Arabidopsis thaliana: one gene and its partner. The protein of the gene in region 2 purifies or fractionates together with the protein of the main gene of each other region. This does not show direct contact. Each region holds a gene or a part of one and is shown on either strand. Other genes may lie near its edges.

Evidence for each region.
Region 1: the proteins of AT5G40810 (region 2) and AT1G16700 fractionate together in Arabidopsis thaliana (co-fractionation; one large-scale study listed by BioGRID). This does not show direct contact.

What each region holds. Positions count from the first base shown.
Region 1 is NC_003070.9:5,707,904-5,712,781, reverse strand, and holds AT1G16700 (Alpha-helical ferredoxin), read right to left. Parts: upstream 3,159-4,878; 5' UTR 2,921-3,158; intron 2,818-2,920; 5' UTR 2,771-2,817; coding exon 2,717-2,770; intron 2,302-2,716; coding exon 2,223-2,301; intron 2,123-2,222; coding exon 2,069-2,122; intron 1,959-2,068; coding exon 1,867-1,958; intron 1,787-1,866; coding exon 1,673-1,786; intron 1,575-1,672; coding exon 1,507-1,574; intron 1,396-1,506; coding exon 1,284-1,395; intron 1,184-1,283; coding exon 1,088-1,183; 3' UTR 739-1,087; downstream 1-738. Other genes in the region: AT1G16705 (p300/CBP acetyltransferase-related protein-like protein), read right to left, coding at 267-313; AT1G16690 (Enhancer of polycomb-like transcription factor protein), read right to left, coding at 3,411-3,620, 3,735-3,971, 4,074-4,142, 4,257-4,307, 4,402-4,449, 4,552-4,632, 4,734-4,772. UniProt on the Arabidopsis thaliana protein: Core subunit of the mitochondrial membrane respiratory chain NADH dehydrogenase (Complex I) that is believed to belong to the minimal assembly required for catalysis. Complex I functions in the transfer of electrons from NADH to the respiratory chain.
Region 2 is NC_003076.8:16,338,135-16,343,643, reverse strand, and holds AT5G40810 (Cytochrome C1 family), read right to left. Parts: upstream 3,782-5,509; 5' UTR 3,642-3,781; intron 3,474-3,641; 5' UTR 3,445-3,473; coding exon 3,385-3,444; exon of another isoform or gene 3,056-3,384; coding exon 2,844-3,055; intron 2,736-2,843; coding exon 2,456-2,735; intron 2,374-2,455; coding exon 2,302-2,373; intron 2,212-2,301; coding exon 2,095-2,211; intron 1,975-2,094; coding exon 1,909-1,974; intron 1,434-1,908; coding exon 1,317-1,433; 3' UTR 717-1,316; downstream 1-716. UniProt on the Arabidopsis thaliana protein: Component of the ubiquinol-cytochrome c oxidoreductase, a multisubunit transmembrane complex that is part of the mitochondrial electron transport chain which drives oxidative phosphorylation.

The DNA of each region.
Region 1 (4,878 bases), on a different chromosome or scaffold from region 2:
GCAGAGAGGAAAACAACTATGAACACCAATGTGACAAGACTGGAATCCAAATAAGTAACATTTCAGTAGTAGAAACACTAATAGATGATATTGTTTCTTAAGAAACAAAGCAGAAATACATGATCACAGAGCCAAAAAGCAGTAATAAGTTAGATCATTCCCACTTTCCCAGACACATTAACTCAATCCGTAGTACAGCAGCAACTAACAGAGAAAAGGAAAAGAGTGCAAGAGGAACGAGTGAATGTGAAAAATTGAAGGCTTACATAGCGTCTCGCATGGACCGGCGAATCTGGAAAACATCATTGTCCATGGGAGCAAGTGTAACGTGAAATCCCTAAAGCAACACCAATTAACCAGCATAATCATAATCAGTAGTAAAACCAAGCATAAGCAAAGAAAGAAGATACATCTAAACCTCAGATGATAAAACCTAGGACTTCAATCCAACTTTAAAATTTGATACACAAAGAAAGAAGCAATCTTCCACCGCAAAGATCAGAGCCTAGTGAGGAAGATTCTTCCTTACGAGATCAAGAAAACGTAACCTATGATTACGATGAAGAAACAATGTCGCACGTCTAAACTCACGCAAGCCAGGAGGATAAGTAAAATGAGAAATCTCTGAAAGAGATCTTGAAACCGAGAAGTAAAAGAAGATGAGAAAGCGAATTTAAGACGAAATTCCAAATAGAGTAAGTTCCTGAGCTGGAGTTTCTGCCAATCAGAGGTTTTTACTAGATATGCAATTATGCATGTTCATGCCAGTCTATTAAACTACCATTTTACCCTTGTATTTCTCTGTATTTTACATCATTAATGTTCTCTTCAGATATTAGCAATTTTTTGTTAGACACTTGACCGACCGACACTGAGAGTAACAACACCATTGAATCATATCATAATCCATTTACCGCACGGTCCAGCTCAAACCGGAAACAAAGCCAAATTTGATTTTGCCATCGGTATGAACTCAAGAAATACAGATAGCAATAACAGTGCAAAGGCTGAAGCATCTTTATTTGTAACAGAAGCAAACGAAAACGTTTCCTTAAGAATTAGGCAAAAGGCATTTTCGGATCAATATTCAGCGGTAGAGGCTCTCCGACCTCAGATTCTCTGCAATCTCTGTCTCCCACCTATCTCCATTCTCAAGAAGCTTCTCTTTGTCATACAGAAGTTCCTGCACACCAAAAAGAATCAGAATGTCATTTATCGAATAATACACATCTAACTTTAAGATCATGGGCAATCTTATGTCTTTCTGAATTGTTTATACAGACCTCATGTGTCTCGGTTGCAAACTCAAAGTTTGGTCCTTCCACGATTGCATCAACAGGGCAAGCTTCTTGGCAGAAACCACAATAGATGCATTTCGTCATGTCGATATCATACCTGTACAGCTCCGAACAATCACTACACTACGAAATATATAGAAGAACCATAGAGACAAGACAGTATTAAATAATATATATATGGTTAATAAACGGGAACTTAGAGGGTGACCTAGTGGTTCTGCGGCTTCCATCTTCCCGCTCCTCTGCCTCTATTGTGATTGCTTGAGCTGGACATACCTGATGAGCAAAAGACCAGTATCCATGAAAAATCACACTTTATGTCAATATTGTGCTGTGGTATGAATTCTCGAGTAGCATAGACTTCAAAAACTCACAGCTTCGCAGAGTTTGCAGGCAATGCAGCGTTCTTCCCCAGTTGGATACCTTCGAAGAGCGTGTTCACCACGGAAACGAGGGCTCAATGGACCCTTCTCAAAAGGATAATTGATCTGCACAAAAGATAAAACTTGAGAATCAGAATATTTTTCTTTCAGCCTAATTACTAGAGTCAAGGGAGACAGCCACTCACTGTAACTTTTGGATCAAAGAAGTACTTGAGGGTCAGTGACAAACCCCTGACCATTTCAGTGAGAAATAGGGTGTTCATGCTCCGTTCAAAGACTGTAAAAGTAAGAAACATCAGGAATCGCTAAGACTCGCAGAAGGAAGTAATCAGGAAGGAATGCTAAGAGAATAGAAAGGTTGAAAAGTGTCTGGATCAAATAGCTTACCAGTACTCCAGTCCTTGGAGATCTCTTTAGCAAGCTGCTCAGCTTCTTCATCATCTACATATTACCAGAGGCAAAGGATTAGTAACCTATATTCCTGAAAAGTCATAGCCTAAATTAACCAAGAGAACCCAAATGGAAGCAACAAAATTTATACCTTTGTTGCTTCCATAAGATATAGCACGGGACTGTAGCCCACAGAGATGAGATCCCTGTAAACCTTGCCCTGAAAAAGCCTATCAACAAAGACAAGGTAGATGTTAAATGCGAGAAGAATTCCATAGCATAGCCACCAAAAGAGCTATTGAAAGTAAAAGTTAACTACCACGACGCTCTCAGTTAAAGTATTTATATTTGCAGAGATTGAGATAACAACATTTAGGCGATACATTCTCTCTTCAAGGAAGAGTATATGATCTAAAGGAAAAATGAAGCTTCACGATTGATGTACCAACGCAATACAAAGAGATGCATAGAGGAACAATACCCAGGAAAAAAAAAGACAAAAACATGTATAGCAGCACCACTTGCACATGCCTAGAGCCGGCCGGGGCAGACAATACCAACTAGTGATTTCAAAAAACTTAGCAGCAATTCCAAATTTCTAGGAATATAAGCGATATAAAATGGAAGAGCCTACGAGATTCTTACGAGATGTCGAGCTCGGAGAGCACTGAACGACCTGCGAGCTAGTAGCGAAGCCATCGATAGAACTCAAAATATCAAATTAGGGTCTCTCTTCTTCGATGTGCCTGATGTGAGAGAAGAAAATCCGATTAGCTGAAAAGCTTAATCAAGCAAAAGAAGCATTGAACAAGAGAATGACCAACGAAAAGCCTAAAATTCCATCCGAACCTTAAACGCGATACTCAAAAAAGCAAAGCTTCTGCACGAACCCAGAGAAAGTTCGATCTCACAAGAACATTGACACGAATCCTTTGCTGGTGATTCACGGTCGTCGGAACAAAATTCGATCAGATGTCTCTTAATTTACAAATTGACCCTTCTGGTTAACTACTTACTCAGCTCATAACCGGGCAATCAAACCGGTTATATTTGGTATGACAGTCAATTCCTTCCAAGTTTCACACATTTCAGGATCCAGGTTCTCAAGACGTGGACCAAACTAGACCATTGCTGAAAAAAGTTAATACCTGATCAATGGTCACTAACCGGACCTAAAGTTCACAAAGTAGCCGAGATTGATCAATAAACCGGGAAAACCAAAGACTACACAAAATTTAGAGGAGATACAAAGTGTTTTGGTGACAATCTTCACCACCACTGGGGAGGAACTAACGGGGATAACTCTTTACAATGAAGAAGAAGAAAACTAGTTGAGATGTTATGGTGCTATGTAGAGAGTGTTGCCACAGTTAATGTGGGCTTGGTTTAGAGGATTCCATCTATCAAATACAATCCGACCGCCTCTACCCATTCTTCCTTGAAACCGAGCTCTTCCACTTCTTGCATCTGATGGAGGGATGATTCCCGCAGCAGCCAGTTTATCGGGGACCAATGCTTTCGTGAACAGCATAACTGGCTCATTAGGATTCTACACAGAAACAACATAAACAGTGAACGTAATTCTCTCTTTTTTATCTTGTCACCAGAATGTAGTAACCTAATAGTCTCAAATGTTTCAAATACAGAGGTTCTGAAGAATTACCAGTTTGTGGAGCCATCCAAGTCTTCTCGCCTCTTGCTTTATGCTCCCGGCTTGAGCTCGAGCGAGGTTTGAGTCGGTGAAACGACGATGAGGGGTAAAGGAAGGCCTTGTACATGTTTGGGTGGTGGTCGGGTCATCGGAGTCCATGAATTCATCTTCGCTTGAGCCAAATCTGTAAGCTGTAGAGAGTGGAAACCCAGCCAGAGCCAAACTATCTTCCAAAAGTTCGGTTTCATTCTGCAAACATATCAAAACCCCACAAAAAAAATCAGAGGAGATCGAAATGCACAACTCTTTCTGGTAACAAAAGAACACTCGATGCAGGTTGTAGAGGACTACCTTATATTTCAGTTGGATTCTCTGAAGGCTAACCTCACTCGCCATGAAATCCCTCTTTTTCTCTTCTCTCTATAAAGATAACATGTTTTTAATCAAGTTAATACCTATGGAGTCTGCAGGTATCTCTTAAGATATCAATAAAATTACATTCAAGTCACAAAATATAGATGTCATTTAGATTACCTTAATAAGAGCTTCTAGAATGGTCTTTGCTTGGTCAAGATTGCGCCTGACCTAATAATAACATATCCCAGAACAGAAGAGAAGAACGTTTGAGAATCCAGGAATTATTTTAAGAAGTTAAACACAGATTCAGGTCTTCCCTTACCTGTCGCAGCTTCTCAAATGACTGCGCATTGTTTTCTCTCTGCTGCATCTGAAGTGAGGTCAACTATTGTTAGTAAGTTATGGTGCATTTTCCATACTCACACATGTAAGATAAGGAAATTGATAAACCACAGACAACAAGACAGCCTACTCTTCTTGCGTGTAGTCTATGAGCTTTCTCCCGTGGCCTAAACACATTGTACGGATTGGTATCATTGACCGGTGGTGGAGGCTGTTCCAAACAAAAAACACAAGAGTAGCTAATTTTCAGTACATTTCAGAATAAATTCATTTCTTCCACATGTAAGATTGAGACCAGTCCAAATGATATACCTGTAAACGCCGCAAGATAGGCTTCTGCCATATTTCACGCTAAAAGAATACAAAAGTCGAAGTTACTTAATGTTTTAAGCCTATGCCCAAAGAACCATTAACAACTTTTCATTAAAAAAAAAAAAATCAATTATCATCAAACTAT
Region 2 (5,509 bases):
GTCTCGCACTGTTTCATGATTCTTTGTGGAGAACGGTCAGTAACAATAGTGTTAACTGGAGCGGTCTTGGCTGCAAAAGTTTTGAATGCTTGAAAGGTCTTAACTGAGCCGGGATTTTGTTGGTTGCTTTGATCTAGCTCTGGTCATGAGAAAGATAGGTTTGTTAAGGTTAAAGTGAAGACTGATTTCCTGATAGATGATGTTTGGGTTTAGGCGATGGGAAAATCCGAATCGGATTCGATATTAGCAGCGGATCAGGCACGTTTGCTGCTAGAATGGCTGAAAAGAATCTGAATATTATCGGTATTACATTAAATATAGATGCTCCTTTCAGCGAATTCATAGCTACAAGAGGGATTTTTCCGTTGTTCAGAGGGAGTTTGGATTAGAGATTCCCGTTCTATGACAATGTTTTTGATCTCATTCATGCTTCTAACGGATTGGATTTAGCGGTTAGTAGTAAACCCGAGAAGCTAGAGTTCTTGATGTTTGATCTTGATCGGATCTTGAAACCCGGTGGATTGTTCTAGTTAGACAATTTCTATTGCGGTAATGATGAGAAGAAGAGAGTTCTTACGCGTTTGATAGAGAGGTTTGGGTATAAGAAGTTGAAATGGGTTGTTGGAGAGAAAACTGATGCTGAGGTTTTTCTCTCGGCTGTTCTGCAGAAGCCTGCCAGGATTTGATTGGTTTTTTTCTTCTTTTTAATCAAGATTTTGATCTTTTCATAGGTTATAAAAATTTGAGCTCATTACATTTTTATAAATATTGATTCCAAGGGACAATTAAAAGTGTGGACTTGTATTTTGAGGTTTTGTCCGATCCTGCATGTTTGTTTCATTGTCTGTAGGATTGTGCAATTTTGTTTGGTAATGTCTTAACGGAACTGGTTTTACATTAACGGGTCTAAATCCTGCCTACATTTTTCTAAGTTTTACAAAATCGAGTTCGCAACAGAGGTAAATTGGTTGTTCTGTGGAGTTTTGGTCTATCAGAAATAGACCACAGATTTTAACTTTTTAACTTTAATAGTTACAAAATCATGTTTTGTGATATACAAATAGGAGAGAGATTGTAAAACCACATTTTTATTAAGACAAACCGAGTCCGGTTTAGGAGACAACAAACCAAAAAGAAATAATATAATCTCAAAATCATGTGTGACTTGAGGTTAAAAAAGCTTTACTTCTTTGCCTCATTAGACTTTCTAAACAATAAACAAAGAAACATGTCTTTTGAGACAAAAAGTGGGATTCACCATTTATCCCTTTCAAGATTAATGATTATTACCCAGAGAAAAGGTGATCTTCACGGGATTAGTTAACAACGTCGAGAACAAGCTTACGGGATTTGAGTACTGACCATTTCAGTCTCCTGTAATACGCAGCTTGAAGCAGAGCCAAAGACAGTAAGAATATCCATTTGAACCCCATCTGCACACACATACAACCAACGTTAACAGATATCTAAGCACAAAGAGTTGGATTCTCGGTATAGCGGGTTTTTTTGGGTCGGTTTAGAACCAACATGACGGTTTTGAATACAGAGTAACAATACGGTTCATGTTTGATAATAGTTTTGGTCTGAGATTAGCAGCCTCAAGAAACAAGCAGTAGTGTGGTCAACACAACTATGCAACTAGGTGTGTTCAACACAACTATGCAACTAGGTGTGTTCATCCCGCTATACAGAAGACAGAACCAAGGAAATCTTAACACGGATAAAATGGCGATACTTTTTCTACATCCAAAACCAATCTATACTATGCCGGTTTAAGTTTGGTAACAATTTTCTCAAACTGAATCTGAAAATCAAATAATCAGAATCCAGATTGATATTCCTATTGCAATCTCGTACATATGGAAACGACAGCTTAAAACATGGAATATATGAAACTAAGAAACTTACCAATTTCCTCTCTTCCATCTCTGGTTCAGCTGCCCAGGACAAGAAGGATACAACATCTTTACCCATCTGCATCATGTTTTTTAAAAAAAGAAAAATTAAAGATTATATAATTGACTCAGAGGAAAGGTCAAATCTGATAAAACTTTATGGTCTGCAAATTATTTTCTTAAGCAGAGGAAAACTAACCTGTGCTTCTGTTGCAGGAGTTCCATCTTCATATTCCACAGCTTCATCGTTGAGCATTTTTGGCATAGCGATTGCTCCACCAGGGAAATAAGGATTGTAGTGTAGCCCCTCTCTGATCTGTACCCGTTAGTCACAGGATTATTTCTAACTTCCAACAATTTGAAGTTGTAATAACAAGTCTAAAGCAAAAATAGGAGAGAAATTTACCGAAATTCCAGCAGGAGGATCACGATAACCAGTCAACAGAGCAAAGACATAATTTTGGCCATTGTGACGTGCCTGGAAGAAAATAGCCAAATTGCTTAGATCATAGTAGATGAATTTTCTAATTGTATACAAATGGAGAGAAAGAGCACCAAACCTTAGTTACAAGACTTAGATCCGGTGGATACGCTCCTCCATTGGCGAACCTAGCAGCCGATTCATTTGAGTATGGTTCAGGAAGCCGATCACTGAGTTTACCAGGTCGGGTGAACATCTCACCCTCATCATTTGGTCCATCAACAACCTCGATTTCAGCTGCCATGGCCTTCGCCTCTTCCTCTGTGTAGGCAACACCCACCAAGTCTCGGTATGAGATCAGAGACATCGAATGGCAAGACGCACAAACTTGCTGATAAACTTGGTGACCACGACGGATCCTGCTCATTACAAATCAACCGTCAGTAAAGCAGTCTCAAATTTCTCTAATTTTCAACTTTAGTGTTGCAATTTCACTATGATGATTGAATTGTAGCTTGAACACTCACGAAGCATGGTCATATGAGCTGAGAATGCCCTCATGTGGCCAAGGGTAGTTAGGACACTCCAGACCATGTTCAGCCTCATCAGCAGATGCAACAGTAGAAAAACTCAATAATCCGGTAATACCAGCACCCATGAGAGCAAATGCTCTTAAACCAGCAGACCCAGCATCTTCATTCGCTTTCTTCGAAGACAACCATGACAATACCGGAGTTGCCTATGGTGGTAGATAATACAGAACAACAGTAAGAAAACAAAAAAAAAGGCCAAGACACAAGAAGGTGTATGCTCAACAAATCAAAAGACTACTTTTTCTGAAAAGAAATCGAATATTAATCATACTCTCGAAGCACAAATCAATAAGTCTAAGTTTCTTATATCCCAAAATCTCCAACGCCACAACAATTCCAGTTACAATTCTTCAAGGACAATCTCTCAGAGCAATGAAGGTGTAGACAGAACCAAAACAAATCATATGATTCTATCTTCAAACAGATCCTAAGCTACAGCAGAAAATCAAAAAGATGTAACAGGGAAAAAGCTCACGACTGATTGGGAATGAAGTTTCCTTCTAAGAAGCTGCCGGATAACTCCTCCTCCAACCATTGGATGAACACTTGTACCAATCGATCTCACTGATACAAACAGAGAAGATTCTCAGCCATTACATATACCCGAAACAATGAGTAAGCCCTAGAAAACTCGATTCTCTATATAGATCCGAAGTTCCAACAAATAAACAAAATTGAATGAAGAAATGGCAGATTCGGATATGAGATGTGTCGAATCGAGAAAATACTCACAGGAAAATGAAGCAACGAGATCGGCGATTGACGAACAGAGGAGGAGGAAGAAGAAGAAGAAGAAGAAGAAGAAGTAAACAGCTACCAGAGAAAATGGATGTCTCCGGATGACGCGACTGGACTGTCACACACAACACAACAACACCTTTCAGATTTTTCAAGTATCATGGGCCTAATTTAATCCATTAAAAGCCCATTAAGGGCCTATCCGTACAGTCAACAGCCAAAAAAAATATCTGGAATATTTCTCATTGGAATAAATGGACCAAATCTTGAAATTTAGTAAAGGGAGACTTTGTGTAAATGATCTATGTGTTGTTGTTTTTTTCAATAGTGAAGAGTTCATTAGTCCAGAATGTTCAATTACAAAAAGATTAACACAGGCTGAGATCGAGATCACATTCTGGCTTGTTTAGTAAATATGTCGATCGATAAATTATTATGGCTTGCATTAACTCATTTTATAGGGTCCAAAGCGAGGCTGCTTTGAATCTAACATGCATTATTGTAGTTCAATATCGAGAGGCGCAAATTTGAAAATACAACATATGTTTCGTATGCTCTCGGGATACTACATCGACTCCAAAATTATAATCTTCCTTAAACTTGAAAATGTGTTTCAATTTTACATAGTACGGGAAAATGTAAATGAGAAATTACATGTTCGCTTTTGCTAGGTAAGTTCATATATTAATTCCCACAGGTTTGTGAATGTTCATGGTATGTTTAATATCTGTTACTCATCTTGAATATCTTTGCTGAATAGAATCTCTTATACCTAAAAACAGAATTTTAATTAAGCAGGAGAAATTCTCATCATGACTCAACTCAAGCCGAATCATTAGGTTTTTGCAATCATAAGTTGTGGTTCGGAAAACGAATTTGGAATCATCAGAAAATTAATGAATGAGACATCGTCCTGGAAGCTTTTCTACATATTTTCAAGCCACGAAACAGTAACTTTCTTAATATGTTGATTGGTGAGTCCTTTAGTGTCTCAAGTGGAAGTAGTTTTTCATTTATGAGAGATGATTTAATATGAGTCGGTTTGAATGCTATGCATTTCCTTTCGTGTCTTAGAGAAATGCCTCTATTATGTTTTGGCTTTGGGGAATACCTCCTTTAATTATGTTTTAAACTTTGTGATCTTTGAATCACTCCTTCTTGTACTTGTTTTTATGTGAATGAATGAAAACAAGCCTTTGTAAAAAAAAAAACATATTCTTCTCTTAACTTTATCTACAAGGACCATTCAGCTTTATCAAAATTAAAAGCTATGCTATTATCTTGTCTAAGAGCTAGATAGCGATCTGCTTTTATTGGTGGTATGAAGGAAAAGTATAATTATATGATTAAGTATGTCATTATAGTAATTTTTCTACCTAAATGAATGTTAATTAATTTAGTTTATTTTGGGATGAGGCACCTCCCCAGCAGGTATCTTAATAACATATCAAATAAGGGTTTCGATTTGAGACATGTTTCCACATTGTATCACGAATTGTTCATCAGTGCCTAATTAAGAAAATATACAGTTTAAAATTTGTGATTTTAAAATAATAGTAATTTTCTTATAATTAAAAAATATTTATGTATCATGACCAACGCCTATTTGCTTGTAATGTCGGGTTACTTTCACTCCTTTATCAAAATTGTATCAAATTTTTGTATTTGCGTATAATAATTGTATTATAATGTTTATATATTTTGTAACCTTGTTTTATATCAATATATCTGATTTGACAAACAAAAAAAAGAAATTAAACAACCTAACATTATTTCTTTCAGAATTTAGTGTGTGTTTATAGGATTTTAAATCTAATTTTATATGAGGTATTAGATAGTGGTAATGTATTATGTTAAGAAAC